Schizosaccharomyces pombe: one gene and its partners. The protein of the gene in region 4 interacts with the protein of the main gene of each other region in a biochemical or structural test. Each region holds a gene or a part of one and is shown on either strand. Other genes may lie near its edges. The genes, in order: hst4, dfp1, mcm2 and hsk1.

The links.
Region 1: the proteins of hsk1 (region 4) and hst4 form a complex in vitro, tested with the Schizosaccharomyces pombe proteins (one study listed by BioGRID).
Region 2: the proteins of hsk1 (region 4) and dfp1 form a complex in vitro, tested with the Schizosaccharomyces pombe proteins (5 studies listed by BioGRID, with this or other methods).
Region 3: of the proteins of hsk1 (region 4) and mcm2, one has a biochemical effect on the other in vitro, tested with the Schizosaccharomyces pombe proteins (3 studies listed by BioGRID).

What each region holds. Positions count from the first base shown.
Region 1 is NC_003424.3:2,190,445-2,197,905, forward strand, and holds hst4 (histone deacetylase, Sirtuin family, NAD-dependent Hst4), read right to left. Parts: upstream 3,172-7,461; 5' UTR 3,038-3,171; coding exon 2,845-3,037; exon of another isoform or gene 2,720-2,844; coding exon 1,665-2,719; 3' UTR 1,620-1,664; downstream 1-1,619. Other genes in the region: vps66 (acyltransferase), read right to left, coding at 1-65, 253-277; CENP-P family protein Fta2, read left to right, coding at 564-1,619; CENP-A chaperone, CHD family Hrp1, read left to right, coding at 4,573-7,461. UniProt on the Schizosaccharomyces pombe protein: NAD-dependent histone deacetylase, which contributes to both telomeric and centromeric silencing, proper cell cycle progression, DNA damage control, recombination, and genomic maintenance.
Region 2 is NC_003421.2:1,210,285-1,218,229, reverse strand, and holds dfp1 (Hsk1-Dfp1 kinase complex regulatory subunit Dfp1), read right to left. Parts: upstream 3,905-7,945; 5' UTR 3,785-3,904; coding exon 2,147-3,784; 3' UTR 1,792-2,146; downstream 1-1,791. Other genes in the region: vgl1 (vigilin), read right to left, coding at 1-1,088; Swr1 actin-like protein Arp6, read right to left, coding at 4,874-5,884, 5,957-6,071, 6,143-6,222; nmd5 (karyopherin), read right to left, coding at 7,141-7,945. UniProt on the Schizosaccharomyces pombe protein: Activates hsk1 kinase and is essential for G1/S transition. Has a role in S-phase checkpoint control induced by replication fork blocks after nucleotide deprivation and DNA damage.
Region 3 is NC_003423.3:1,188,470-1,196,992, reverse strand, and holds mcm2 (MCM complex subunit Mcm2), read left to right. Parts: upstream 1-2,850; 5' UTR 2,851-2,884; coding exon 2,885-3,117; exon of another isoform or gene 3,118-3,336; coding exon 3,337-5,596; 3' UTR 5,597-5,785; downstream 5,786-8,523. Other genes in the region: SPOM_SPBC4.06 (acid phosphatase), read right to left, coding at 1-979; ubiquitin protein ligase E3 component mlo2, read right to left, coding at 1,650-2,639; COPII-coated vesicle-associated protein Sfb3, read left to right, coding at 6,181-8,523. UniProt on the Schizosaccharomyces pombe protein: Acts as a component of the mcm2-7 complex (mcm complex) which is the putative replicative helicase essential for 'once per cell cycle' DNA replication initiation and elongation in eukaryotic cells.
Region 4 is NC_003423.3:3,195,091-3,202,755, reverse strand, and holds hsk1 (Dbf4(Dfp1)-dependent protein kinase Hsk1), read left to right. Parts: upstream 1-3,554; 5' UTR 3,555-3,780; coding exon 3,781-4,009; exon of another isoform or gene 4,010-4,067; coding exon 4,068-4,913; exon of another isoform or gene 4,914-4,976; coding exon 4,977-5,425; 3' UTR 5,426-5,696; downstream 5,697-7,665. Other genes in the region: condensin complex non-SMC subunit Cnd1, read right to left, coding at 1-2,263, 2,355-2,433, 2,504-2,618; rpl2801 (60S ribosomal protein uL15), read right to left, coding at 5,819-6,265; COG complex subunit Cog6, read left to right, coding at 7,187-7,447, 7,500-7,665. UniProt on the Schizosaccharomyces pombe protein: Required for G1/S transition. Plays a role in DNA replication checkpoint signaling through regulating rad3 and cds1. Involved in the maintenance of mitotic chromosome structures during S phase through regulating the function of rad21.

The DNA of each region.
Region 1 (7,461 bases), on a different chromosome or scaffold from region 4:
AAAATTAAATCCACTAGGAGTTTCTGTATTTATAGGATGGAATGGAGCTATGCCCGTTCCCGGATCTAAAAGGGTTAATGAATCTGCATTAAAGTCATTTTGTTAAGAGAAATTGACAAACACTCGATCTTAAAGTCAAGAATCATAATACAAAATAATTGGCTTCTATTTTTTGCTTTTATTTTTTTTTGCGTTCTATTTAAACAACATTTATGTGAACAATCAAGCATTTAAAGTATTGCATATTCTTACCTCTCCAGCGAGTAAATTTCTCCATTTCACAATGAAAATGATAAAATATTACAAATATTATTTTTAGTAGAGTAATATGGATTTCAGTCGTAAAAATGAAGTAGTGATTTCAAAGTGGTAGCTACTAAGATTCACTTCTAGGTTTAAGTGTTGCTTTGACCATGACTATATACTATATGCATTTGTTCCACCATTTGAGGATTTTGGATTTTTCATTAATGTTGCATAAAAAGTATTAAAACACTTTTGCACGAGCATTGTTAATTGTAGTAATACTGATACTATTATCGCGTACGACTATAAATATCAAAATGTCCGGTAGGCGATATAGTCAAATTTCTCAACAAGAAGGATCTAGCAGTAGTGATGATAGTGATTCGCAACAAAAAAAGACAAAACGTACTGTTGCTCACCGAAGCCCAAATACTACTTTAAATGGCATGCCTCGCGTAGATTCACGAGCGAGGCCTAATGAAAACAGTGGACAATCCAAATCTAGCAACGGAAGAGTAGACACTGACAGAAAAATGGATCTTTTGCGCAAAAGGAGTAACCTTGTACATCAAACCCTGCTTCTTGAGAAAGAGGTGAGGGTTAGACGAAATGCAATTAACCAACGCGACGATTCGTTTTTAAGCGGATTTATAAAATCATTATTAGAGATTGATTCCTCTGTAGTAATTTATAATACCGAAAACCCTGATAATCCTAAAACAAAGCAAGTTATGCCATCTGCTGAACCCAAAAAACATGTTAAATTGAATTCGTCCATATCATCCATTCGTTTCACACAACATGAATTTGAAGCGGAATCCGAGAAAATCATTCATCATTCTCTTAAAGGAGATATAGAATATCTCCCAAGCTTCAAATTTTTACTAGAAATTAAGGTCCGAACAATCGATTATGCTCTTTTATTTATTACTTATAAAATCCCGCATTTTGCTAGAAAAGAGCTCAGTAGTTTTTCGGACTCTGCAATACAATGTCTCGATATAGTAGCTCTTTTGAGAGCGTTCTCATTATTTGCCCACCATTACTCATATCGCTGCAATACGTGGTTTTATTTATCAAAGCATATGAAAAAAGTGGCATCAGCAAACATGGACGCTCAATGTTTCTATGTTCAAAATTCCTTTTACAAAATTACAATACTTTATGAGATAAAATTTGATGATCTTGGTTTTGTACAACCTAATTACTGCATCTCTTATATACTAAAGAATCAAAATGAAAAAATTGTAAGCATCACATCAAAGTTGCTTAATCAATTAGACAAACGTTTTTCGGAATTTGTATCGCTTTTCGGATTCAGAGAAGGTTCACTACTATTATTACAGGCATTATTTAAACCTCATTTGGGGTAAGAAGGATAAATTGATATTTTTAACATGGTTTATTGAAGCTAAATGTTAAAGCGGAGAAGGGGTTGCATATTCAACTTCTTGTTTAATTTCCACCTTGGGTATTTCAATACTATTGAGCACTTGGTGCAACTGAAAAGAAGTGTTATCTTTCTTAGAACTATCATTGCTTTTCGTGTTCAAGCCAATAGCTTTCGTAATTTTAGTGGAAGAAGTAATCTTTGTTTGTTCGGAAGATTTTTGTTTTGAAGTTCTTTTGGCAGAATGGGACTTGAGTTTCCAACTTGGAGCATCTAATAAAGGCTTCAGACGTCTAATAGCAATTTGAAGGTCTCCTTGTACAACCAGGTCGCATAAGTTCAAAAAATCTTTCGTAGGTTCGTCATAATTCAACCAAATAACATTTCCCTTCTGTTTATGCACACAGTTGCTCATTTCCTTGATAATTCTTTTGACACCAGGGATTTTACAAGAAGTACCAGCAACAATTAGACAGTCAGGGCGGGACTTTAAATCTTGTGAACAGACCGAACCAATAGATTCGGAATCCGGATGTATCTCATTGTACAAAACAATCCGAGGACGAAGGCAACCCTCGATAACTGATCTTTTTCCTGCTATACGACGAACCTCGTTCTCGGTTTTACAGTCAGGGCAAACAGTAACACCATTTCTATCAAATATATCTGGATTAAATTTTTTCAAAAAGCTGCACCTTGTGCAACTTACAACTTCCAGTGTCCCGTGAAGAGGAATCGTGGTAGGCCAAGGGGCAGACTGCGGCAATGGAATACATGTTTGAAGGCCCTCGAGTCTGGTTTCTAAAAAATCAATATTTTGTGTGTATAAACGTAACAGCTTAGATTCTTGGGCTAGTTGAGATAAAAATAAATGGAAATCAGTGGGGCGTGCATTATTAGAAAGCATATGTAGCTTTCTAATCATTGCGTGAAAGATGTTAACACTCTTAAGATCTCTGTAAACAGATCCATCAAACAATTCCTTCCCGGAGCAGTTCAATTTATACTCCGCACGAAGGGAGGAGAAAAGACCCTCAGAGGAACGGAAATCAGGAATTCCAGCATCACAAGAAATTCCAGCACCTGTTTAAACGTATTAGTAAATGAGCCTTTGTACGATTATAATATTTAATTTTTTTTTTAATCCCACTTTTTTTTTAAGTGAAAAGTTAAAATAAAAGAAGGAAAACCATAAATAAGCAACATACCAGTAACAACGACTATGCGCTTTGCCTTGCGAATGGCAGAAACTAAAGGAGATAAATCGACATTTTCATTGCCTGTATGAAGTCTAAGTGGAAGCTTGGAAAGTAATTGCTGCCTTTTCGAAGCATTTTCAGAAGATTGGCATTTTCTCTTCCTCGACTCCTGTATTAGAGGGACGTGCTCCTCCACTTTCATACTAAGCTACGTAAATTTGGAATTTTTTAAATCCAAAAAGTTGAGTGCATTAATTAAAATATATTAAAATCATTGAACTCTTCGACTTCTTCCTAAAATGGAATGGTTGAGGAATTAAGTTGTGATTGACGGTTAGGCGGTTGTGTCTACGTACGTTTCGAAAGGCCGTTGAAGGACAATTATATCGCTTGAAAGACTCAATTTCGCCATGTCTTTGTATAACAGTAATCGCAATTTTTTTCTCTATTCACTTTTAAAAATGCCGTTGAACCAATGTTTATTTAGAGTACTGATTTTTTTGTTTTTACCCATTTAATAAAATGTTCAGACTAGAAAATCAGCTTTCATGCTGACATTAATAAAAAGAATAAAATTAAGTCTTCAATAATCCTTCTGAGATTTCTCCTTCTATCAATATATAAATTGTCTAAATAGTCAAATGAAATAAATAAATATATACAGAAACTGGTAATAAAAATATTAAAACAAAAAGGGATTGCAAAAATTTAAAAAAACAATTGAAGTTCCATTTTCTTAAATATTGGGAAAACTTTCAAGAGTTTTAAGTACAGTATTTTTCCTTGACATTTAATTGAAAAAGTTGGAAGGTGAAGTCTTTCATAAAATTCTCAAAAAAATAACAAAACCAATAAATATATCTTTGAATCTTTGGTAAAATATCCATGCAGTTAAAAAAATTTAGTAAAACCAATCGGTCAAATTTTTAATTAGTTTATTTCTTTCAGAAACTATTGTTTTCTCTGTCTCGATTCCCCTCTCAATTGTAATTAAAGAAGTAAATAAATACATTATGTTTTCATGAACAATTGAAACAAAGAAGCATACGTTTATGTGAAAAGTTTCGACGTTTTTGTGTAAACTATTTAACGTTATGGGATAGTAAACAATAAAATATATAGAAATTTTTTGAAATTAATGATCTTTAAATTTAATAAAAGCATGCGAACTGAAGCATTTTATGAAATACGAATTTGCCTTCACGTTTTGCACAGTTAATTTGAAAATGAAATAAAATCTGCAGACTTGCTCGGAAATACGAACCGGAAATGAAAATTGTAAGCTAACTTAATTTCCATGGAGTGAATGAGAATAGCTCGTACATTTTATGGCAAAGGATTTTTTTGTTTGTAAAGGTCTTGCATTTTCGCAAAAATTGAGAGTGGAAATTGCATGAGTAAAAATAGTGAATCCTTCTCAAAAGGTAAATTTTATTAATAAAAAGGGACTCTGGAGAAGTAATTTGATACCAAAATCACCTGCATTGCCTGGCATTTCATTTATAGTGTTGCATATTTTTGCACTATTAATTTCTGCCAACAACATAGTAATTTCAATTAATAGCCTTATAGGCATACTGCTTATTCCTATTAATCCTTTGTTGCTTCACTGTTAATATCCAGATATATATTTAAAAAAAAGCATTTTAAGCTTTTAAAAGAGAGTCTGCAAAGGAGCGCCTACTTTGTGGACGTTCTCAACATTTAACATTATATAAATTTTCTGGAGTAACAAGAATGGAGCCTGAACATTCGAATTATGATTTAAAAAATCATCCTACGAGCGTTCAAGAGTCTACTTTAAATGGCTCTGCAGTAACTGATCCTCAGTTTGGAAATACAACAAATTCTCTACCTAGCATGAATGGCCTGTTAAATCATGAAAATTCTTTCGCTTCGCAGCAATCTTTATCGTCTTCTGCCTTTGATGATTCTGAAATCGTAACCAGCACTGCTAATAGCACAGTTGTATCTTCTGCTTTGTCTACCCCTAAAATTGACGATGCGCAAAACTCTGACGATGTTAGAGTAGATGGTACAAGACGTTCTTCAAGGGCTAAACGACCCGTTTATCGTGATTTCTCTTATACTGAAATTGACGAGCATGAAATTCCGATTCCTAAAAAACGAAAGAGCAAACCTGCACCAAAGCAAAAAAAGTCTGTGGCTAGCGATGATGAAGACGCATATGATAAGAGACATAGATTCAGTATTAACTCTGCTTCCGGAACCGAAATCCGTACTTCATTGCGATCTTCAAAAGGTAAAAGCGTCAACTACAATGAACAAGAATTTTACGACGACTTCGAGGACGAAGAAGAGGAAGTAGAAGAACAGGTCGAAGAGGAATATGAGCCTATTATTGATTTCGTTTTAAATCACCGAAAGCGAGCGGATGCACAAGACGATGACCCGAAGTCTAGCTATCAGTATTTAATTAAATGGCAGGAAGTTTCCCATCTTCATAATACTTGGGAAGATTATTCTACGCTTTCTTCTGTGAGGGGCTACAAAAAAGTCGACAATTATATAAAGCAAAACATCATTTATGATCGCGAGATTCGTGAAGATCCAACTACAACCTTTGAAGATATCGAAGCTCTGGATATTGAACGCGAACGTAAAAATATGCTTTTTGAAGAGTATAAAATTGTCGAACGCATAGTAGCTTCTGAAACTAACGAAGAAGGAAAAACAGAATACTTTGTAAAGTGGAGGCAGCTTCCTTATGATAATTGCACATGGGAAGATGCCGACGTAATTTATTCTATGGCACCAAATGAAGTTTATCAATTCTTGCAACGTGAAAACAGTCCGTATCTCCCTTATAAAGGTGTTTTCTATAACACCCGTCCCCCGTACCGCAAGTTAGAAAAGCAACCATCTTACATTAAAGGGGGGGAAATCCGTGATTTTCAACTTACTGGTATAAACTGGATGGCATATTTATGGCACCGGAATGAAAATGGTATTTTAGCAGATGAAATGGGTTTGGGTAAAACCGTGCAAACTGTGTGCTTTTTATCTTATTTAGTCCATTCTTTAAAACAACACGGTCCTTTCCTTATTGTCGTACCGCTTTCCACTGTTCCGGCTTGGCAAGAAACATTGGCCAATTGGACACCTGATTTGAATAGTATTTGCTATACAGGTAATACGGAATCTCGTGCTAATATTAGAGAGTATGAATTCTACCTTTCTACGAATTCTCGCAAGCTTAAATTTAACATTCTACTTACGACCTATGAGTATATATTGAAAGATAAGCAAGAACTCAACAATATTCGCTGGCAATATCTTGCTATCGATGAAGCTCATCGACTCAAAAACAGTGAATCATCTTTATACGAGACCTTATCTCAATTTCGGACTGCCAATAGATTATTAATAACAGGCACTCCTCTTCAAAACAATCTCAAGGAGCTGGCATCCTTGGTTAATTTTTTGATGCCTGGAAAATTTTACATTAGAGATGAATTAAATTTTGATCAACCAAATGCTGAACAAGAGCGCGACATCCGAGATCTACAAGAAAGATTACAACCCTTCATTCTCCGTCGCTTAAAAAAAGATGTAGAGAAATCTTTACCGTCCAAATCTGAGCGTATTCTTCGAGTCGAACTATCTGATATGCAAACTGAATGGTACAAGAACATTTTAACTAAAAATTACCGCGCCTTGACAGGTCATACCGATGGCCGAGGTCAGCTATCCTTACTCAATATAGTTGTAGAGTTGAAAAAAGTATCAAATCATCCCTATCTGTTTCCTGGCGCAGCGGAAAAATGGATGATGGGTAGAAAGATGACTCGAGAAGATACGCTGAGAGGTATTATCATGAATAGTGGTAAAATGGTACTTCTTGATAAACTGCTGCAGCGTTTGAAACATGATGGACATCGCGTATTAATTTTCAGTCAAATGGTTCGTATGTTGAATATTCTTGGAGAGTACATGTCCTTGCGCGGATATAATTATCAAAGATTGGACGGTACCATCCCAGCTTCTGTACGCAGAGTTTCAATTGATCATTTCAATGCACCAGATAGCCCTGATTTTGTGTTTTTACTTAGTACCCGTGCAGGGGGACTAGGCATTAACCTAAATACTGCAGATACTGTTATTATTTTTGATTCTGATTGGAATCCCCAAGCAGATTTACAAGCTATGGCAAGAGCGCATAGAATTGGTCAAAAAAATCATGTCAATGTTTACCGCTTTTTATCAAAAGACACAGTCGAGGAGGATATATTAGAGCGTGCAAGAAGAAAAATGATTTTAGAATATGCGATCATCTCTTTGGGTGTTACTGAAAAATCAAAAAATTCCAAAAACGATAAGTATGATGCCCAAGAGCTGAGTGCCATTTTAAAATTTGGTGCTTCTAATATGTTCAAGGCAACTGAAAATCAGAAAAAGCTCGAAAACATGAATTTGGATGATATACTTAGTCACGCTGAAGATCGTGATTCTTCTAACGACGTGGGTGGAGCAAGTATGGGTGGTGAAGAATTTTTGAAACAATTTGAGGTTACTGATTATAAGGCTGAAGACCTAAATTGGGATGACATTATTCCTGAAGAAGAAATGGAACGCATCGAAGAGGAAGAACGCATGCTTGCCGCT
Region 2 (7,945 bases), on a different chromosome or scaffold from region 4:
TTAATATTTTTACCGTCTGGGCCCCTAAGAAGACTGTATAACTCAGTAGAAATGTGACTGATACGAACAGTAGTGTTACTGGTTCTTTCGTTGATGATAGCTTCAATATCCTTTTGGGCAAGTTCAACACCTTCGAAATCGCCCTCAATAGTAATCGTAGTCATTTCATATTGGGGTTCCAAATCGTCGAGGGTAGAAGCAGCTGAATTTTCCTCCTTTTCAGGTTTCTTGGCATCATCAGAGGACTCGTTTGCGGTGTTGTTACGCTTGGGAATTTGAATGCGTGTTGAAGTGCGATCCATAATAGACTTTAAGTTTTGTCCATTAGTACCAATTATAGCCCCAACAACAAAAACAGGACAGGGCATAGTTTTCGTTTCACGACGACCAATCAATTTCAAAATTTGGCGTCTAGCCGCTTTGACAGCAGAAGTCTTTCCTTGAATTAAAAACGTGGTATTCTTAGTTTTTGATGCAGTAGAAACATTAATACGTGTAGAGGTCTGATGCATGACAGTACGAACAATTTCAGCAACAGAATTAGGCTTTCCCACGAAAGACATACGAGGAGCTTGATTATCAGGGCTTAAAATCAAAGTTTCCGTAACAAAATCAGTTTCTTTTACCGAAGAAAGAGTTGATTTTGTAGAAGATGCACGAGAGCTAGCAGAGAACGGAATCTTGTCTCTGGAAACTGAATCAGAACCAGCAACGCTAGTATTGGAAGCTGTCTTTCTGACCCACGAAACAATCCTTGGCTTGCTGGGACCAGTTTTAGAAAGAAGTGTAGGAAATGCATCCTCAGAATGGACGTCAATGGCAGGTTTTTTGGAAAATGATTTCGAATTGTTTTGCTTCTTTCCTTGCTGAGCATTTTCATGCTTTTGCTGTAATATAGCAGAAGGAGTCAATCCAAACGAGGAACCAGCAGCAGATGAAGCAGCGCTTAATAGTCCATTTGTGCTGGCACTTTTGCTACCAGAAGGAACCTGAGATTCAGTTCCTTGCAAGTTTTCATCGTTAGTCAGTTTCTGAAAATCATATGAGTCCATCGTTGTTGGTTGCTCAAGATTAGAGAGATGTTCCATTAGGCAAGGTCCCGAAAGTGTATACAATAAAGATTTTTACGTGAGAAAACAAAAATATATAAGCTTCCAAACGTTCTTCCCCGCTTAACTCAACCTCGTTTTATTTACTTTTTTATACAACGTCGTTCGTTCACCAAATTTAAAGTGTTTAGGTTACTACTAAGTACAGTAAATAGCCTGCGTAAAAAGTTGACGCTACAGTAACAAAATAGAGTAAATCGCAAACAAAGAAAGCGAAGTAGCGTTGACTACTGGTGTCTGTTTAGGGCAGGTTAATTTATGGTAAGATTACCTGTGATTTCGCACGCGCAGACGACGAAAACTAGCACACATCGTTAACACGCTTTAAACGCATATACAGGGCGGAGAGCCGGGTACAGTAAAACGCTGATTTTATACTTTCAGCAATTAAGAAAATATGTCTATAAAATAAAAAATGCTATTTATTTCTACAGTCAGAAAAATAAATGAGAACTCATGATATATTATGAGTAATCCGAAATTTAAAAAAAAAAAATCTCAGACGTATCCTTGCACGTACGCCTGAATTTGTTAATTAATCGATTAAAAAGCAAATTTAAATTAACTGATTGTAATTCATTTATGATATGTTATTTAAATATACAATTGATAAGATTTTTTTCTCGCTATTAAGAGTGAAAGTAGACGAGTTGTCAGACAAGTAACCGGTTCTAAAAAATCTAAAACGTTATAAAATGTCCTTTATTAAGCAAGAATCATTTTGCTCAGCCAGGTAGTAATTCATAAGCAACGATGACTAACTTCCCCAATAAACTATTAATGAATAACACTTTGTTCAATAGATAACTTGGGATACTGGTAAATCAGAAAATAAACCGTGAAACTTTTTGATATAACAACTATTAGAAGTATACATGTAAAATGAAGAGGAAGATAAAAAAAGAAAGGTAAATAGCACATACATAGATGTAATTAAATCCCGAGAAACTGCATAAGGAGGTGTACACAATACGCATGCACGATCGTATATTAGTGAAAAGTGAATGTGCCAAAATTTGAAGACACGGGCTATTTTCTCAATCTGGCCTTAAGGGACGTTGAACAAGGGCAAACAGTTCATCAAGGTCTTTAAAATTATCGTTATTCTCGGCAAACCTTCGATGCCTACTGCTGCGGATATGAGATTCAAAATTATCAAATTTCTCCCGACAATTTTCACAATAGCCAGGTTTCGCATCTACACGAATTTTCCGTTGACTCGTGTTGTGAAGCATCGCTTTATAAGAGTAGTCCTTGCCAATCATGCCAGACTTTTGCTGAATAATACGCTTTTTCAACTCTGCGATATCTCTCCCATTAATTGTTACCACCGGAACACTAGCAGCACTACCGGAGCGAATAGCAGAATTATTGGACATTGCAGCAGAAGTCAAGTTTGACTGTACTATACCCGATGCTTGCATACCGTCATCCAAACAGTGATGACAATTTGTCCTTATAGAAGGGGATGTATCTTGGGTAATTCCAGAAATGGCAGTTTGAGGGGTGTTGTTGATATTGGTGTTATAAGTGGTATTTGTGTTCATTCCAGAGATCCCGGTGTTGGATATATCAGGCAAGGAAGCTTTCATCGAATTCGCACGAAGAATCAGCGATGGTTCTTGACTCTGTCGTTGCAATAATTGCTGGTCATTTTTAGCAACCAAGGACTTGGAAGTACTGAGACGATACTTTGTTTCAGGTACAAATGGACACCGGCCAATACTAGTAGCACGAAAGGTCGGCCAAGGAACGTCCCTGTCGGGAAGCGGTTTTTGCCATTCACGTAAGAGTATAGGTTTGTAAATGTTAGCTATGTCATGCACGTAAAGGTAGGGTCCACGAAAATGCACAAAGTCCTGTCTAGGAACAGATAAATCGCGTTCGTTCGTTCCTTGCACCTTTTCTACGTAAAGCAAATAACTCAAGTCATTCCCCTGTTTGGTGGGTGCGTTGGTTGTGCATTGATCATTCTCCATTAAAGTTTTTAACACGCGGTTGCAAAGCTTTTCCATAGACCAAATCTTCATGTTCAGTTGCCTAGCCTTAGTGATTACATCCTGTTTAGCATACTTAACCGAAACATCTTGGATAGCCCGAACTGTTGCAACATGAGTAACATTTCCTGAGAAGAACGTCTCAACATGTCCACCCAATTGCTGAATTTGTTTTTTCACTCGATGAGCAACACTTGGGTCGCATCCATCCAAATAAAAACGGAAATGAGGAAATGCCTTCTTGTACTGTCTTTTCCATTCCTGTAACCGAGCCTTTTGAGAGGAATTCTTAGATCCCAAAACTTTCCCAGCTGCCATGGATTCCGCCTTCGACTCAGTATCAGCATTAATGGGGGCCAGCCCCTTCATGACAGGAATATCCTCATTTTGAGGAGCATCATGTTTAATCCGTTTTACGGACTTGCGATATGATTTAGGGGTAATAACAGTTTGATGTTTAGGGGTGGTTGTGATAATATTTTCGTTATTAACAACCTCAAAATCGGTTTTCACTTCTCCTTCATCTTCCCTGTTGTCTTTCCAAGTTATAATTTCCTCCCTTTGTGCTTCGTTTGTCTTTTCCTCAATTCGATATTCCTTTTGTTTGGATACGGCATCATGTTTCGGGAGTACTATATTCGCAGATCGAGGAGCTAGAGGACATCTTCCTAGGTTCATGTGGTACAGCCACCTTACTAAATTAGTGTATTTGATTTTTCCTCTTAATGAGAGCCTAGCTTGGGATTAATTCTCTTTGTTTACTTTCGCAAAAGACAATATTAGTGTTTGGTGGTGGTCAACTCGAGATTACTGCAATTTGGCCAACTTTTACAGCTTAAAGTAACGATTCAATTGGGTAACATCTATGAAGAAAATATAAAATATCTGTACATATTTATATTATTAAAGTAAATTTATATCATTTAATCAACTTTTACTTTTATATTTAAGGCTTTACTGTTGAAAATGTGAGGGAAAATATATGTAGCCCATGAACAAGGCTCAACAGAAATAATTTGGGATCTCGATTCTTCTTATTACACAGTTTTCCTTTACTGAATTATATGATTAACTTGAGAAAAAGAACAATTTATCCAACAGAAGCAACAAAATTTCACGAAAAGCTCTTTCTATCCAAAATGTAAACAGACGCGACACGACTACATTGCAACGCAACGCGCTACATTCTAATTAAAGTAGTATACCGTGACTGCTCTAACTCAAGGTTGCTTTAACTCTTATACTGTCAACCTGAAACTGCACTGTACATATAAAATGCACTTGAAACAGTAGTGAAGAAGTGCTGAAATTTTTCTTTTTTTTCAATCTTGTTTTTCAGGCACATTAATAATATGTAAGTATAAACACTTGAAGAGATAGAATGTTACATATGATGCTTTACAAATCGATTAGTCTTGAAGACACAACTATGTGGTTAAATTTTTATACTTGTATACTGATTTTCATTCCTATCTTTTTTATAATATCTTTCATTTCGCTAACGCTTTTTAGGTATGAATTATCCTGGCGACAATAATAAAGATATAGTTATTTAGCTGTTGTTTTAGTGGTTGATCAAGAGATAGAATGATTCGTTAATTAATATAAAAAGATTTTATTCTTAATGCATGCATATTTTTCGTTTTATATTGCTGTAGCCTTAATGTAATAAACCAATTTCTTAAGATGCGAATTATCAGCTCGCCTTGAGAATTTTGTGAAGATAGAAATTTAACCCACATTATTGAGTTTTAAAATGGTGATCTATTATATTCTCCTTTTTCGTGTCATTATGTTTGCTCCATGTTCTGAGTACTCAGAACGAGTTATTTTATTCGCATTCCAGTGCTCCAACGGCATATGAGATGCCTTTTTCCATGGAAAGCAAATAGGATCTGAAGGTTCAAAAACTTTAACTTCCCAATTAGCTGGTGCCAGCGACCGTAATTCAGATGATAGTCTTTTATGAAATCCGGGAAATTTACAGTTTCCTCCTATTGTAACAACATTTTCAAGCAACATTGCCTGTATATTTTCAGGAAAGTGGGTGACACTTTGCATGACCGCCTCTGGAATCCCAGCCTCACGTATTTCGATATCAGATGGGGAAAATAATAATTCTGGTATCATGAATCTCTCATTTGAAAGATTCAAAACTTGTTGCTCTATTTTTTGATTAATATCTCTAACAATATATCCATGTTTTCCAGTGCTGTAATCGGGCAAAGCATAACAAATTTCCAATTTTGACCGTGGTTTTTCGTGACATATCTCCATGTCCTCCTTGAAGTTTTGAGACACATAACAAACGGACTCTTTAATTTCATTAACAATGTATGTTTCTTCCATCATATTGTACTTCCGGTATGAGATGACTTCTTTTAAATAATTCGTAAGTAATTTCCCTCCCACATCAACTCGCTTTACCGCTTGTTCTTGAACAGAGAAATCAATCACAGGAATTATGTGTGTAAAGCTATATCCAGAGTCAATTACCAAAACGCATTCTCCATGTTGACCAGTATACGCATCTTCTTGATTCATTGTGAAACTTCCATGATCCCAAGGAATTAGCTCAGCTGGGGTGCAAGGGAGGTAAGCATCGAATTGGAATTCCTCAAACACGAGTTGTATAGTATTGTGTTCTATGGAAGGCATTGTAAATACGGGCTGTGTAAGCAGTAAAGAATAGTCTGCCATGCTAGGTTCCATCACACCTACATTGCGCATTACCAAGTCCCATACGGCTGTTTCTGTGCTCCAATGGACCAAATACCCCTACTAGTATTAGTAAACATAATCTTTGTATTTATTTTGTTCGTAAATAATACTCCCTCATAAATGCTGTACCTTTTCATGCGCCCTGCGAAATTGTAAAGTTGTAAAGTCGTTACAGTTGGCCAATTCATTCCCCAAAAATAATCTGTTTCCATCTTTTGATCTCGTCAAACAATTCGGAATTTCACTAAAAACTATCGTTAGCTGAAAAAAGTAAAAGATACATGAAATTTATTGACGTGATGCACTTCTTCTTACACAACTTTTCCACCTGCAAATCCAGCTTTTATATGGTATGCCCCATTGTCTAAAACAATAGTTTTAGGGGGTAGTCCCATATTATTAATAAAAATGTATTCCTATATCTTAGGTCTTAACTTCACCCAAAAACCGCGATTAAATGTACTGTTGTTACGGCTTTGGAATGCTGTTATATGATAGCGTTGTGCTATAACAACAATATCATTACAGTTTGAAGCAATAGTATAATAACGCTGGCTCTTAAAGATATTTATGATATTTTTAATAATATCATAAATTTGAAGGATATCTTTTTAAAATAACTTTAAAGATAAATCTTGCAAATCTTAGCTTTATCAATATAACAACATCGTTAATGGGGGGCTGTCTATCAAATTTAGTTTGTAAAAGCCGTTTATCATATTATCCAACCCCTAAACTAGCCGTTATCAATTTAGTTAGCTGCTTAATTCAACGTACATCTAATATACCATTCATAAACACCGACTTTCCCTATACTACTAAATCGTGGATACTTAACTTTATGCTTATTTCCTCAAGAAAAATATATTTCTATTTCATTTTCTCATCAACTTGCGTTTGTCAATTCGCATAAAGTAAAAGCAAATGAACTAGTATTAATCGATTTTAAAACTTCTCATATTTATTAACTGGTATATTATGATTTTAAATTTCATTTAATCAATTGGCGTTCCAAAATTCTTATAAAAGAAACACACCTCTGCGTTTGTTTTCACCGAACTGTAAACCGATACAACAATAATTTTCTTAGCCTTCCCTTTAGACAAACCCTCCATCCATTTTTCCCAAGCCATAATTCCGGGTCGTATCTCATTGAAGAAATTATTTTTACAAACCCGTAGAGTTTGATTTCCCATTTAAAAAGAGCCGTTCAAATATGTCAGTTTGGCTTATTACCACTGTGTAGAAAATGCTTGTTTTATATTTTTATATTTTATTACCAAAATTGGACAGGCTTAGAGCGCCAAACAGGCTCATGTTTTATCGGAAGCGACAGCAAGGGTAGAGGGTTTTTCAGTTACCAATCTCTGTAAGGATTGCTGCTCGGATGCTTCCAAATTTTTGACAAGATCTTGTAATGTGACAGGGCTGTTGTCCTTTAAATGAACCATAAACTCTTGGAAAAGTGAAAATGGATCAACTTGATCTAACAAAGTATGGAAAAGAGGATCCTCGTCCAACAAGTAATTTCCTTGGAAATGCTCAAATTCGTCAAAATCGTCAACCACATCAGCCGAGATTTCTCCACCCAAATCAGGTCCCCCATATTCGACGGCAAAGTCATCGACACCCTCATCATCATCGGCTTCCCAATCGATGCCATCATTCCAACCAGAGCCAGATAAATTAAATGTTTCACCGTCATACTCTTTTTCTAATTCCGCGCGAGCAGCTAATGCTTCAGGTAGTGTATTTAAAAGAGTTATCATGACTTTCATTATATTACCCCAAGAGTCTTGGATAGCAACAGCAACTTGTTGAGCTCCCAGTGAAATTACCGATAAAATAGCTACCAAACTCAACTTTTTATCATGCACACGAGTAAACGAAGGTATATTTTCAAACCATAACGCAAAGAATGGTAAAGTCCACTGATGCATTTCAAGTACCCCAAGAGACATCGATGGGTTATAATATAATGCATTGATTATAACCTCCAACAAAAATACGCGGTATGTTTGAGAAGTTGGCTTTTCAGTTACAAGTAAGAGATTACCAGCAACCTCAATAAACGCAGGCACATATTGATCCAAAAGGCCACGATAATTAAGCATTAAA
Region 3 (8,523 bases), 2.0 Mb from region 4:
CATAGAGGGCCAAACGATGATAGGGTGAACCATTCTTTTCAGCGACCACGAAGTTCTCCATTCTCATGCTTAAATCATTTAACAAGCTTCCAGCACCTAATTGACGCATCAACTTAGAAACCTTATAACCGCCAAACCATTCTTCTACAACAGCAGTTTCGGCATCGCGTAACCATTGTTCATCTCTTAGGTTGGGATTGAAGTCGACATGGCTACCAATGGCAGCGTTAATAGTATCAAGCAAACCACTGAGACGAGGATGGCTTGAAACAACTCTAACAGGCTGACCATTCATGAATTGACTCATCATTTCAGAGGCACGGCCTGCAAGTAAGGGATCGTAAAGCTTAGCAGCTCGTTCTGCAAATTCTTCATATAGTTGCACAAGTCGAGGACAGTTGTTTTCATTAGGAAGTAGGTTTTCGTCTGACCAATTTCTCGTAAAAATGACAGGTAAACCCATCTTACGCTTTGACTCAGGATACAATCCGGAAAAAACATGTTCTAAAGACTCCAAGGCTCGCACCATTGGAGTCGCACGCATATAAACATCAGCGTAGTTATTCAATTCATCAGGTAAGAATTTCAATTGTTTGACATAACGTTCTCGAAGATACTCACCAAGTGTTCTGGTAGTAACACGCCCAAAATCAGTCAATTCACCATGAATGCAAACACCACTTGGGGAATTGTCTGAAGTTGGTGCTGCAAGAGACGTGTCAACTGGTGACTCAACCTTCCTTTCAAAACCCAACACAGACCATTCCTTTTCCCCTTTAATTTGCGCAAAAAACCTCCTTGCATTATTACAAAGCTTCCAATCCTTAGGGATACCGGCGGAACCAAGTCTTTCCTTCACGGGAGCACGTTCACCATGTCGAAATATGACTTGTAAATATTTCAGTTGCAGCTGTTTTGGATAATCGACTCCGGGAACTGAATCCGGGAATTTAACAGAAGCTGAAGACATTTGAGACATGGCGGCTAGGAAGTGGTTGATGATGCTGGATAAGAGCTGCTGTCAACTAAGGTCTCAATGCTTGAACATCATCGCAAAGCTCATATAAAATATGAATTACTGAATATTAACGAAACGACACTATTTGAAAATTAGTTTTGTTTATGAAAAGAAAACAATAAAATATAAAGTTAATTCAATCTTAAAAAACTGTTAGGAAAAAATTAAAATGAAAGTCATTATGAGATATAACAAAAAAAAAATACCCAGACAGGGTTTCTCTTTAGCTTTCTCAATCAAAAATAAAAGATAAAAGACGCAACCACCAAAACTATAGATAGGTTTAAAAATTTTAATGAGTGCAGTTAAAATAGGAGAGACAAGAAAGCTAGAAGTTCAATATATTAATTATTGTTCAAATATACATACAAATTTGTCATCATCATTAAAATCATGTATACCAACAAGCCCCAGTAAGCCTCTCAAATTAACCATCTCTGTTAAGAAAATCAATTAAACCATTTTTGATAGAGAAATGATTACGTTTAACCATAAGCACATAGAAAATATCTCTGGTTTCACCAGTATAAACAGCGTTTCACAAAAAGCATCACCAGATTAAGTATAACCTACATGTTTTGACGTTAAATTATACGCCAAAAAAGAAGGGAATTCAAAAAAGTTATTAACGCTACCGTAAATTTTTACTGATTCGAGATCGCTCCAAGAAAAAATTTGATATATCTTCCTTGGTGACAACCCTATTTTCACGAGCAAATGGAGTGAGGAAGTCCGTTAGCTCAGATTTTAAGCGATTATACGCATAAACGCTTTCGTTAGCTTGTACACGAGGAAGTCTGTCCAAAATACGAAGGACATCATTCATTGTGCTAGATATGACTTGCTCAATCATTTCTCCAGATTCACTGGGATCCTCATTCATCTCACTGATTCCATCCTCAGAATCCTCAGGAGGTTCGTAAATAGGTTCTTCTGCCACCAACATTGGCATCTCCAAATTACGCAAACTGATGCAAGATTCACAAGGGCACAAATTTTCCCTAAAGTTTTCTGAAAGAAATAGAGGCGCTCGTTCTGTACCAGCTATGCTTTCATGCTTCTGGTTTAAAAGATGATCGCGGTATTTTTCTGAACATTCTGAACACACCAACCATTCAAAAGTCTCAGCATCTGGGATTGCAATTCCTTTATTAGTTTTCTGCAGACACTTTTCGTGAAACCAATCTTCGCAAAGGATGCATTGAAACATAGTTCCTTCCTCTGTCTCTGGATTATACACCGTATCACATATGCAAAATCGCCCTTCGAAATTATGATTATAATCATTTTCTGAGCCACATTCATCAACGGATTTCCGTAAATTACAAGGTATGGAGTGGGTTCTTGTGGTGCCACAATCACATCGAAAATGTCGTTTATTGAATAGGTCCACAAGATCATGGTCAGCATGGCAGCTAATACTGCAGCTATAGCAAACAGCATTTAAGCTTCCGCTAGCTTTTTGACATGTCAAACAAGCGTATAAAGGTTGCTTCAAATAGCCCATCGAATAAGTGCACGTGTCAAAGCTGTAAGGCAAAACTTCTCGTGCCTCCCTTTCAAGCTCCCTTTGCTGTTCAACATATTGCTTAACCGTTAATTCATGAGCCGTTTCCTCCATAAGTTATTAAATGCAACTAAACGTTGGCAAATAGACGGCGTAAACAATTGCGAAGAATGTCTTTTGAATAATTCAAAACACTAACTCATTACGCTCCTCTATTTCATTTACAGGTATCACTACATTTTCCAATACAATTTAACAATATACTGTAGCATTTCTTATTCTTTCATCCTGCAATACTCTAGCTATTCAATGCATTAAAATAGTTAGAAACAACATCTTTAAAGTATTTGAGTCCAAAGATGGATTCTTTTCGGAAAAGGGGTCGCCGCGATTCTGAAAGTTTACCTTTTGAATCAGAAAATTCTTCTCTCGGTGCTACACCTCTTTCTTTACCTCCTTCTTCACCTCCTCCAGAATTCTCTGATGAAGCTGCAGAAGCTCTCGTGGAGGAGGATATTGAGGATCTGGACGGAGAAGCTTTAGATGTAGAGGATGAAGAAGGTGAAGATTTGTTCGGAGAAGGAATGGAACGGTAAGTTTTATAGCTATGCTTGAGACGTGTCTTGTCAATGTTGTGTATACTAAGTGTTGCCATCAATATATAAATTACATACTATTTCTTCTCCTTCTTGTAAATAAATATATTTATTGGATTCCTAGGTTGCGGTTATATTGACAGAACAAATCTTGATTTTCAAAAGAGTAGTTTCACATTTCGCGTCAAATAAGGTACTTTTTTCTAACTGTATAGTGATTATCAACAAAATTTGGAGCTAGATCGTTATGACATTGAAGAACTAGATGACGATAACGATCTTGAAGAATTAGATATCGGGGCCCGAAGAGCTGTTGATGCCAGGTTGAGACGACGTGATATTGAGCTCGATGCTGCTGCAGGTAGAACAAAACCTGCTGCATTTTTACAAGATGAAGATGATGATTTGGACTCCAATCTTGGCACAGGCTTCACTCGTCATCGACATCGAATTTACGACGAATATTCACCTAATGTTGGCGCATTGGACGAATCTGGTGAACTTCCTCTTGAATCAATTGCCGACGTAAAGGCCGATAGTATTGCCGAATGGGTTACTCTTGATCCTGTTCGGCGTACAATTGCTCGAGAATTCAAAAATTTCCTTCTTGAATATACAGATGAAAATGGCACCTCTGTATACGGTAACCGTATTCGCACATTGGGTGAGGTTAATGCTGAGTCGTTGATGGTTAATTATGCCCATCTTGGTGAATCTAAACCCATTTTGGCTTATTTCTTGGCCAATGCGCCTGCACCTATTTTTCGCATATTTGATCGTGTTGCTTTGGAAGCCACTCTTTTGCATTATCCAGACTATGAAAGAATACACTCTGATATTCATGTTCGTATCACTAATCTTCCTACTTGTTTTACTTTACGCGATCTACGACAATCCCATCTTAATTGCCTTGTACGGGTATCTGGTGTCGTAACTAGGCGCACTGGGCTTTTTCCACAATTAAAATACATTCGGTTTACATGTACCAAATGTGGTGCTACTTTGGGTCCATTTTTTCAAGACTCTAGCGTTGAAGTAAAAATTTCTTTCTGTCACAACTGTTCCAGCCGTGGTCCGTTTGTAATCAACTCTGAACGGACTGTATATAATAACTATCAAAGGATCACTTTACAAGAATCACCTGGCACCGTCCCCTCAGGTAGACTGCCTCGACACCGTGAAGTTATTCTTTTAGCGGACTTGGTTGATGTTGCCAAACCAGGCGAAGAGATTGATGTTACTGGCATATACCGCAATAACTTCGATGCTAGTCTGAATACCAAAAACGGGTTTCCTGTCTTCGCTACAATTATAGAAGCAAATCACATATCGCAACTTGACGGCAGTGGTAATACTGATGATGATTTCTCTTTAAGTCGGCTTACTGATGATGAGGAAAGGGAAATTCGGGCATTAGCAAAGTCGCCTGATATTCACAACAGAATTATTGCATCGATGGCGCCTTCTATTTATGGACATCGCTCTATCAAAACTGCTATTGCTGCTGCTTTATTCGGTGGTGTCCCCAAAAATATTAACGGTAAGCATAAAATTAGAGGTGATATCAATGTTTTATTGTTGGGAGATCCAGGAACCGCCAAATCTCAATTTCTTAAGTATGTTGAAAAAACGGCACATAGGGCTGTCTTCGCCACAGGTCAGGGTGCCAGTGCTGTTGGTCTAACTGCATCCGTCCGTAAAGACCCCATTACGAATGAATGGACTTTGGAAGGGGGTGCTTTGGTTTTAGCAGATAAAGGTGTTTGTTTGATTGACGAGTTCGATAAAATGAATGATCAGGATCGTACTTCTATTCACGAAGCCATGGAACAACAAAGTATTTCTATTTCTAAGGCGGGTATTGTGACTACCTTGCAGGCGAGGTGCACTATTATTGCTGCCGCTAATCCCATCGGTGGACGTTATAACACTACAATTCCTTTTAATCAAAATGTTGAGCTGACCGAACCTATTTTATCTCGTTTTGACATCCTTCAGGTCGTCAAAGACACGGTTAATCCTGAAATTGATGAACAGCTAGCTAATTTTGTTGTATCAAGTCATATTCGATCTCATCCTGCATTTGATCCGAATATGGATGTCTTGAAGAAAGTCCCTACTGAGACTGGTATTGATGCCAAACCCATTCCCCAAGATCTTCTTCGTAAATATATCCATTTCGCTCGTGAAAAAGTTTTTCCTCGATTACAGCAAATGGATGAAGAAAAGATTTCGAGACTTTATAGCGATATGAGACGCGAGTCACTGGCTACTGGAAGTTATCCTATTACTGTGCGTCATCTGGAGTCTGCTATCCGTTTAAGTGAAGCATTTGCAAAAATGCAGCTCAGTGAGTTTGTGCGCCCTTCACATATAGACAAAGCCATTCAAGTGATTATTGATTCCTTTGTGAATGCCCAAAAAATGAGTGTTAAACGAAGTTTGTCAAGAACATTTGCTAAATATCTTATTTAATTTTTTGACACAATCAGTTTATGGAGTCCAGTGATTTTGATTTCCCCGTTCTTTGACCCTCCTTTTGTTACTGCATCTGTTGCATATATCTATCCTTTAATAATTTGCAATCAAAATTTGCTTTACATTTTTATACCTATCTTTACATTCATTCTTTCTTAGTTTTCAAAATGTCAATCTAAATTATTTAGGTTAATAACACTTGTTTTGAATATCATTATTGACTATTCGCTATAGATACTAGGTGTATAGATACTTTCTCCGCTGTATCAATATTATTAGCTGTTTCATTAAAGAGCCACTGCCCATGTGAAATGACATTTTTTGAAACAGCTGAGGTTTTTTACATATAGAGCTAAATTGTCCATTTCCAAATTTAAAGGGAAGTCAACTTTTGACAATCGGAAATGCATCCAGTTCATATCTGATGTTCCTGAAGAATCTCAAATTTCACACTTTATTATCTAAAATTATTTATATCGTGTTACTCTTTCAAATCAGTCTTTTTATTTGGTATATATTTTGCCCTACCCTTACCTACTTATATTCGTACATCCACCAAGTAAACTTGACACAAAAACAAAATGGCCTATCCCGGGCAGTTTGGAAATTACGGTAATCCTGAGACTTATAGGCAAAATGTTGCTGGCAATATTGCTTCATATGGGGGCCCTGAAATTGACACTCAGTTAGCTGCTCAAATGAACGCACAAATGTATATACAGCAAGGTAGTGCAATGGCTCCACAACCCCGACGCGCTAGAAGACATAAAGATGCCCATGCATATGATATGTCATTGACAGATGCTGAACCAGCTTTGGCTCCTGTCATGTCGCCTGCTATCCCGCCTTCCATGAATTATCCTACGCCAAGTACACCCTCAGTACTTCCAGAATCTTTTTCTAATGATACAAATCTCCTCGATCCTGCAGCATTACCTTCGGCTCCTGAAGTTCGCTATGAAGATCAGCAATTGTTTAAAAACCAAATATTCAATACCATGGAAAAGGGTTCTCCACCTATGTCCACTACAGATTTTGTTGGGTATGAACAAGGAAATTCATCTTCCAAATTCGTTCAGTTTACCAGTTACGCGATTCCAGCTACCAATGATGTTTGCAATGCTTCCGGAATCCCCTTGGGAATGATTGTTCAACCGTTCGCAGAGTTACGTCCTGATGAAGCACCCGTACCCGTTGTAGATAACACAAATTCAAATCCCCCACGTTGCAAAAAATGTCGTGGCTACATCAATCCTTTTATCCAATTCACGATGGCAAGTAGTAAATGGACTTGCAATCTTTGCGGTTCAGAAAATAGTTTTAATGATGATGGTTTTAATCCTTTAGTCGGTAGTCAGCATGATGGAGTGGAGTCTCGTCCAGAATTAAATGTTGGCACTATTGATTTTAAAGTGGGGAAGGACTATTGGATAAAGGAGGATCCGCCAAAGCCGGCTCGCTTTGTTTTTATGATTGATGTTTCCTATGAAGCTTCCTCCAAAGGACTTCCCAAGGTTGCAGCTGAAGCTATTCGGAATATTCTCTACGGACCGGTACCTCTTGATCCTAATGTCAAAATTGCTATTGTCTGCTTTGATCGAAGCGTTAATTTCTTCAATTTATCTCCTAATTTAGAGCAACCCCATATGTTAGCTGCTTCTGATTTAGAGAATCCCTTTGTTCCATTTTCTTCCGGTCTTTTTGTTGATCCCATTGCTTCAAAAGTTGTCATTGAGAGATTGCTGGACAGTTTCCCTGCAATTTTTCAAGATGTTAAAATTCCCGAACCAGTCGTTGGCAATGCACTGGAAGTAGTAAAACTCCTTCTTAAGGAAACAGGTGGAAAAGCTTTTGTTTTTGTTAGTGCTCTTCCTACGATGGGATTGGGGAAATTAAGGCATCGTGAAGATCAAAGATTATATGGGACTTCTGATGAAAAGAATCTTTGGAACACCCAAGACAAGTGGTATACATCTCTTGCCGATGAATATGTTACTGCTGGTATAGGTGTTGATATTTTCTTTACTGCTACTGCTTATGTTGATGTTGCTACTGTTGGAAGTGTTGCGACCTTAAGTGGTGGGCAGATTTACCACTATAGTAATTTTGTTGCTGATCGTGATGGATCTCGACTTAAACAAGATTTATTTAGAAGTGTTACCAGAGAGCAAGGCTATCGAGTGATGTTGAAGACACGATGCTCAAATGGTCTGCGTGTCTCCAAATATTTAGGCAACTTCTTGCAACGAACTCCACAAGATATCGAATTTGGCAGTCTTGATGCTGATAAAAGTGTAACAGTTCTGTTTTCCTATGATGGAAAATTAAATGGAGCTTTGGACGCTCACTTTCAAACTGCGGTTTTATATACCACTCCTTCTGGTGAGAGAAGAGTAAGGGTTGTTAACTATTGCTGTGCTGTCACTTCTAAAAGCTACGATACGATTTCTCTTGCCATTGTTGAACCTATCGTTGCAGTTTTAGCTAAAATTGCATCGACAAATATTGCAGCGGGTTCTTTAAAAGATACATCGGTTAGGTTAGTGGAGGGTGTCGTGAAAATCTTATCTAGTTATCGGAAGGTTGCTGCTAATCGTTTGACTCCAGGCCAACTGGTTCTTCCAAAGAACTTGGTGTTATTACCTATTTTGATTCTTGCAGTTTTGAAATCATCTGCTATCCGAAGTGGAAGCATTCATAGTGATATTCGTGTTTCACAGCTCAGAGAGGTGAGAGCAGCTCCTATTCAAGAGTTGATGCTAAATCTTTATCCAAACATTTATGCACTACATCAATTACAGCCCACTGATTGTCTTCCTGACCCTGAAAATACGGGTTGTCTACCTATCAATATGCCACTTTGCGTTCGAGCATCTCGAAAATTCATTGAGGATGGTGGTGCTTTTTTAATCGTCACTGGCCAA
Region 4 (7,665 bases):
TGGAGAATCATCTAAATCTTCGTCCATTGCATGATCATCGTTACTGGTAGTATTCTCATGATTGGAAGGTTTGAAGAGTTGTTTCGTCAAAAGCAAAATAATGTTGGTACAAAGTTCGTCAGGATGTTTGGCAACTGCATATATAGCCTCAATAGCTTGCTCTTCTAACCCAAACCACTCTTCAGAGAACGATGGTCGAAGTAAAAGCATACATAATTTTTGACAAAGCGTATGCGAATTTGGAAAATTAATATTAGAAGAACCAGACGCATCTTTGCCAATACGTTTAATCGCTATACATGTGTACCTTGCAAGAACTAAATCCTCCAAACCAGGGGGACCAAGTCCTATTTGAATAAGATGATCCAAGCCCTGCATGACAACATCGGTATTGCCTAATGCTAGCATTCCAATTACTATGATGGATCCTCTACGTTGTGTTCGAGATATATCCTTCTTTTGATAACTGTATACTTGCCATAGTTTTGTTATGACTAGATGTGAAAAATACCCATCTTTCATCAAAATGCAAAGCATCTGTTCAAGTGATGTAAGCTCAGCAAGGCTAGCATCATATGTTAATGAAATAAGATTTCTCGCAATATAGTTTGCGGCTTCGTTGGTACCAGAGTTCGGAGGTGGCTCAAAAAATAATGTTTTATAACATGACAATACATGGTTCTGAATGTTGTTCCCTTCGTCGGAGGTTCCTTTTACCCAAATTAAATGAATCATTTTTTTTATATATAATTTTGAAGACGAAATTCCAAAAGAATTGCAAAAAACAAAGAAATCCATTGACTCAATTACCTCGCTCTTATTTTTAGCAAACAACAACTGGCTTATTATTTTTGCTCCCGCTTCCACAATGTCTATATATTGGAGTGCTTCTAAATAAAACCGTTTCGTTAAATTCACTTTGACTATTTCCTCAGCAGGAACAGAATCGACATATTCGCTTAGAGAATTTTCCAAGTGACTTTCTCCTTCATGTGACTCATCATCTTGGATCATAGTAGCATCCTCTAATAAGTTTTCATCGACTTCAAGCTCTGAATCTACCACCTTTTCTTGTTGCTTTGGTTGTAAAGAATTAAGCTGTTCCTCGATGATAGATAATCCTTTCTCCCAAATATTTCTGGTTAGTAAGCCATTGTGCATAACTGAAAAAGGATGGGTAGTTAAAAGTTTAGAAAATAACTTAATTGCATTTCGGCGGACATGACTTGACCGATCTTGCAAACATCTGATCACGAGTTCCGCGATTTCTTGACGTTTTCTGGGATACTTAATTGGTAAATCAAATATTTTGATAAAGACGTGAAGTACTTTAGTACGACAGTAAGGGCTTATATCTAGTAATCGCTCACTGAGAAGATCCATTAAGCTTTGAACAGTTGCTGGCACTGACTCTGACATTTCATTTTGAGCCTCATCATGAATTTGATCAATGACCACATTAGCAAGTACTTCTATGATAGCGCATCTCAGAGTATATGATTCCGAATCAAGCAGCTTAACTAATTGAGTAAGCTGTTTCAAACATAAGTTTGGAATAAGTGAAGAAAGACGGACAAGAAACAAAGCGACTTGCTTGGGACCTTTAACATCGTTATCATTAAATTCTAGAGAGCACAATGTTCGAATAATTCCTTCAGCCAAGGTAACGGAATTAAACTGAACGGTAACAATATGAACAAGATCAGCAGCATACTCAGATAAATGCTCAAAGTATTGTAAATTTTGAATAATATTTGTCTCCGCTGCAGTGGTATGGTTATGGAATTGAACAGCAAGCCCGATAATATTAAATAAACGAGAACGGAAAGAAGCATTTTTTATGTTAATTTCACTTTCCATTAACGTGTATATTGGTTTTAGGAAAAGTGAAAGAAACATGTCTCTTTCCGAAGAAGTAGTCCATACACGAGATAATTTTTTTTGAAATAATGTTATGATTGCATCTAACAAAGCATTTACATGTGAGATACCATTCCAGTTAGAGTTAGTAGTTGGATTTTTTTTTCTTCCCTTAACAGTATTAGTGGATGACCGAATAACTGAAAGTTGATTTGAGGAAGAAAGGGAATTGACCGTGAGCTGAAATGCAATGCCTGTAGTTTCTAAATTCGTTTGAGGTACAGTAAAATCAGTAGCATTTGCGGAAATCATATCTTCAAGAATAGCGGATTCAGAGCTGATATTACTCGTGAGTAAATCATATACTTTATTCCTTACAGAGGAAGAGAGGTCAGCAAAGTGTCTAAACCATTATTGTTAGTTTGGTAAAATTGATATATAGTAAACCAAATGGCTTCCTTCTATTTGAATAACACAAAATAACAACTACTTACGAACATATAGCAAAGAGTTTTTCCAAGCAATCCTCGTCGAAACAAGAACTCGTTCCTAATAAAAGGGTATCAATGACGTCTAATTTTTCATTGTTAGTTATTGTGGAATCGATCATTTTCAATTTTTTTAAAAACCCAAATGTCCATACCGTTAACCACGGCTGTCAATCCAGCATTTTCACATTCAGCATAAATCGAGTCCAAGTCGGAATTTTCTTCATCATGAATGTATTTCTTTAATCTAGAAAGAAGATCCAACGACATTGAGGCCACTGAAAGCCGAATCTTTCTATGTTACGAATGAAATAAAAGATGGATTTGGCGTACTACATTCTAGTAGTCCTTGTAAACAATAACCCCACCTATATGTCCTGTGTGGGGGTCCATTTATACTTTCTTACTAACAAAAAAGAGCTACGGTTAGTCAAAATATAAAATAGGAGCTAGACTTAATTGTTGCTAACCACTTTAAGGATATAGAACGTGCTTTTATTAACTCATTTGTTTACATTAAAAAATAATATTTTAATTAACTTTTATTGAGCGTGCCACGTAAAAGCTATTGTTCTTTTTAGTACTTCTAATTAAATGTTTTGAAAAGAATTTAATATATTTTTTGAATAACGTTAGTTGTAAATTCTTTCTTGAGCTGTATTTCTGATATAAAAACTTATAATTTATTTTGGCGCATGTATCATTTTCAAGGTGATTTTCAAAATTATTATGAATGCAAATTTTGACGAGGTAAGCATTTGTGCTGTTTTTAGAATTTTAAAGTAATACACAATAAACTAAACAGAAAACCTATCGTAGTTTAACTAGGAATAAATTTCAAATTCAGGATAATTTTTTTATTTATTTTTAAATAACAGAAAAAAAAAACGTGTTTGAATACCATGGTTAATCATATTTACTCTCAATGTCCAATAAATAGTCAATTCTAGTTGTTTATGGTGGTTATTAACAATAACAAGAGCCCAAAGGATTTATGTTTTTTAAAGCAAGTCCTAAATTTAAAAAAAGATAAAGGACATGAAATCTTAATCTTTTCCATAAGTATACAAATATTATAGCAGAGTACTTTTTTTATTAAACAAAAGTTGGATTAAAAATGTATTTTTCTTGTTTGGAAGTAACAATGTCCCTCATTAGAAGAGCATTTTGCTTAACAATGTACAACTGGTGTTGAACCTGGAATCTGCAAATTCTTATATTCATGGAATGAGTTTGTGTTACACATTTTAAAAACTTGATTTTTTTGAATCTTAGTATTCGTTCGCGTGTTCGGTTTGAAGGTTTAAAATACGTGAAAATTTGTTTTTTCTTGGTTCCTTCCCTTGGCAGCATTTTACCATTTAATTGACGACTCTTTTAATTTTTTTTAAGTTATTATTTGGTTTAAAAATATATGAGTTAAACCGTTAACATGGCAGAGGCCCATATCACACTATCACCTAAAGTAACTCATGAACAACAAACAGATATTGATTCTGAATGTGAAATCACTGAGGTGGACGATGAAAATGTAAACGAAAACAAATCTCAAGAAATGATTCAAGATATCCCTGCACGAGACCGCGAAGAAATTGAAAATATCACAAGGACGTTCGTAGAGCTACAAGAGAACTATCGGCTAATTGAAAAAATTGGAGAAGGTAAACTTCAATTACCGTTTTTAGTACTGTTTTGAAACTATCTTGCTAATTCGTTTAGGTACGTTCTCCAGTGTATATAAAGCGGAAGACCTACATTATGGGAGGTATATTAATGATTGGGACATTCAAAGTGAAGTGTTAAAGGAATCTTCTTTTGGAAAAGAAAAAATTCCTGTTAATGAAGACAGCCGGAAACCGAAGTACGTTGCTATAAAAAAAATTTACGCGACAAGTAGTCCTGCTAGAATATACAATGAATTAGAAATCCTATATTTATTAAGGGGATCGTCGGTAATAGCCCCGCTAATAACTGCTTTAAGAAATGAAGATCAGGTACTCGTAGTTTTACCCTACTACGAGCATACTGACTTTCGTCAATATTATAGCACTTTTTCCTATCGCGATATGAGCATTTATTTTCGATGCCTTTTTCAAGCTATGCAGCAAACTCAGACTTTGGGAATCATTCATAGAGACATTAAGCCTAGTAACTTTCTCTTCGATGTTCGTACCAAGCATGGTGTCTTAGTTGACTTTGGATTAGCAGAGCGTTATGATGGAAGACAACAATCACATTCTTGCCGGTGCACTAATTCAAATGCGGCCGAATTAGCACATGATTTTTCGATTGCGCAGGAAACATCTCTTGGATACATAAAAAACGATACTCGACCAAGCAAACGGGCCAATAGAGCCGGAACTCGAGGATTTCGAGCACCTGAAGTATTGTTTAAATGCTCATCTCAATCACCCAAAGTTGATATTTGGTCTGCTGGGGTTATTTTGTTATCTTTCCTTACTAAACGTTTCCCCATGTTTAATTCAAAGGACGACGTGGATGCACTCATGGAGATAGCATGTATATTTGGAAAAAGCGAAATGCGCCAATGTGCTGCTTTACACGGTAAGAACGATCTAATGTCCCTTACGGAAGTGTTTGTGTTGATTTTTTTCGCTAACCTGCCAGGTTGTACGTTTGAGACAAATGTAAGCACGCTTACAGAAAAAAGAGTAAACTTTAGGAAACTTATTTTGTGGGCCAGTTGTGGTTCAGCCAGTATATACAAAGAAAAGCTTCGTCATAAACCAAGCCAAGAAGAGCGATTGTGCCTGGATTTTTTAGAGAAATGTCTTGAACTTGACTGTAACAAAAGGATTTCAGCTGAGGAAGCATTGGATCACGATTTCTTGTATCTCGATAATTTAGCTTACGAAAAGAAAGATGACGATACAGCTTTTGATAATAGCTTTGGAGAAACCTCTTTCGAGAAAGACGAAGACTTAACTGCTAAGCACTTATCCCATATCCTTGATTTTAAAGAGCAGGAAGAAACAGATGAACCTACTTCTTTATCAAAGCGGAAGCGAAGTATTGATGAAATTTTACCAAATGATGCTTTGCAGGATGGAGCTTGAGAAGATTTGCTGGCAATTTCTCATCAAGCAATCACTTATATTTGTGCATACATTTTCATTTACAGTATAAGCATTACTGTAATCATTGGGTATTAAAGTGAAAGCATTATTGTATGTCTATACATCGAAAATACCCTATGGAATTTTTGGGGTGCATTTTCAGTTACAAACATTAATCCATAATTAATTTTACCATAGCATAACGAACACATATCAGCAGGTGAGGCTTTTTCACTTACTGACTTAATTGAAATAAAATCTCTATACACTATTTGACCAGAGAATAACACTACAGATTGATCATACAACAATTATATTCCATCAAAGTATAGACGGATAAACGAATCAAACAAAATTAATTTTATTAAGCCACTAAGCAATCACAGGATGTTCTTAGGCAATGAGCTCAACGACACCACCAGCTTGCTTGATCTTCTCTTCAGCACGACGAGAGACATAACGTGTTTGAATGATGACGGGAGTATCAGGCAGACGACCCTTACCCAAAACCTTACCGTAACCAGATTGTAAGACATTAATAACGGGGGCAACCTCCGTGTTTTTACCAAGATACTTTTCACGAGTTTCGTTGGGAACCAAGGTCCAAAGACGATCCAAATTGACAGTAGGACGCCACAAAGGATTCTTCATGAGGTGGAATCGACGCATACCAACCTTACCAAAGTAACCAGGGTGATACTTATCAAAGTGACTACGGAGGTGTTGCAAACCACCGGCCTTACCACGACCACCGGGATGCTTCCTGTGCTTACCAATACGACCATGGCCAGCTGAGACGTGTCCACGAAGCTTACGAGTCTTAGAAGTATGAGTAGGCATCTCGTTTCTTCGCCTTAATAGAGTGGGTAGTCTGAAGCAAAAAGATGTGTACAGTTTTTTGAGAGAATAAAAAAAAGCAGTCACATTTATAGTTGAAAGTGTAGCGTTTTACGAATTTAGCCGAATTTGAAAGTTGCAATAAAACAGCTAATAATTAAATATGGAATAGTAATTTTTTAAATATTTTAGGTTTTTAAATTCCTAAATTTGTTTTGTTGCGTGTCTAATTTTCACGGGCATCAGTGCACTTTCCTATATTGTTCGAATGTAAACAATACTTGTCGGCATATATCTTTGTCAAATAATTGTCGCCAGATTGTTAATGTATTGATCGTTTGACAATTGAATTAAATATGTTTGAGGTTGTCCAAAAGCCATGAATATGAGTACCATCATATATATACCTTAATGAATTTAGAGGGTATGTATTTAATTGTCTATATGAAAATGTAGTGAATTTTTGAAAATTAGAGATGAGATGTGTGTGCATCCTTGATTAAGCATCGTAAATTTCTGTCGTTCTTTTATACAAATTTTAAAGAGTGCAATCGTTCGGATCATGTCAAAATTCAAAAAACTAAGACTGTAACATACAAATCTGCGAGCCTAATTGGCGATAATTAGAAAATGTCTTGAATAAGGTAATAAGTTGGATTTTAATAATTTTACTTCACCCAAGAATCGTATTATACTTTTACGCTCTAGGATTATATATAGATAAAAAAACGTTTAACAGTCAATTGGCAAAGATACCACGGTTTAGTAACGAAACTAATTATGCTGAGTTCAAAGAAACTATAGCAACGTATTTTACTTGTTTGTTTAAAAAACTAATTACTACAGTACTCAAAAGTTAGGGTCTCATCCTGACAGTCAAGCAATTGTGAAGCATCGTCGGCATTCTCCTAACAACACTACTTCATGGATGTGAAATCCAAGCATGGACACATAAAGTCCAACCCAGAAGAATCGCTTCTATTTAGGAATTCTGTGTCGAAAAATATAGCACAATTGTCTTCAATTAATTATGCAGACCGGAATGTTCAAGCGGCACTAGAACAATTGTCTGAACGAAAATTCAAAAATGAAAGAGAAGCACGAAAGCAACTTCCATTTGAAGTGTTTTCTGATTTAATATGGACGAATGGGTCAATCATCAAAGAGCTGTCAGAGCTTTCAAGTGTATGTTAAATACTAATCCATCAAATATTTCTGCAACGCACTAACTGTATAGCAAACTTTGTCTGTCCAGAGTCAACTTTTGAAAGTTAAAAATTCAATTGATAGCTATAAAAATGAGTGGTCTAAAAAAACGAATGACGCACAAATCTTATTGAATTCGTATGAGACATTCTGTGAAGAGGAAGCATTGATTGAGGAAAAGCTCAAAAATATTGAAA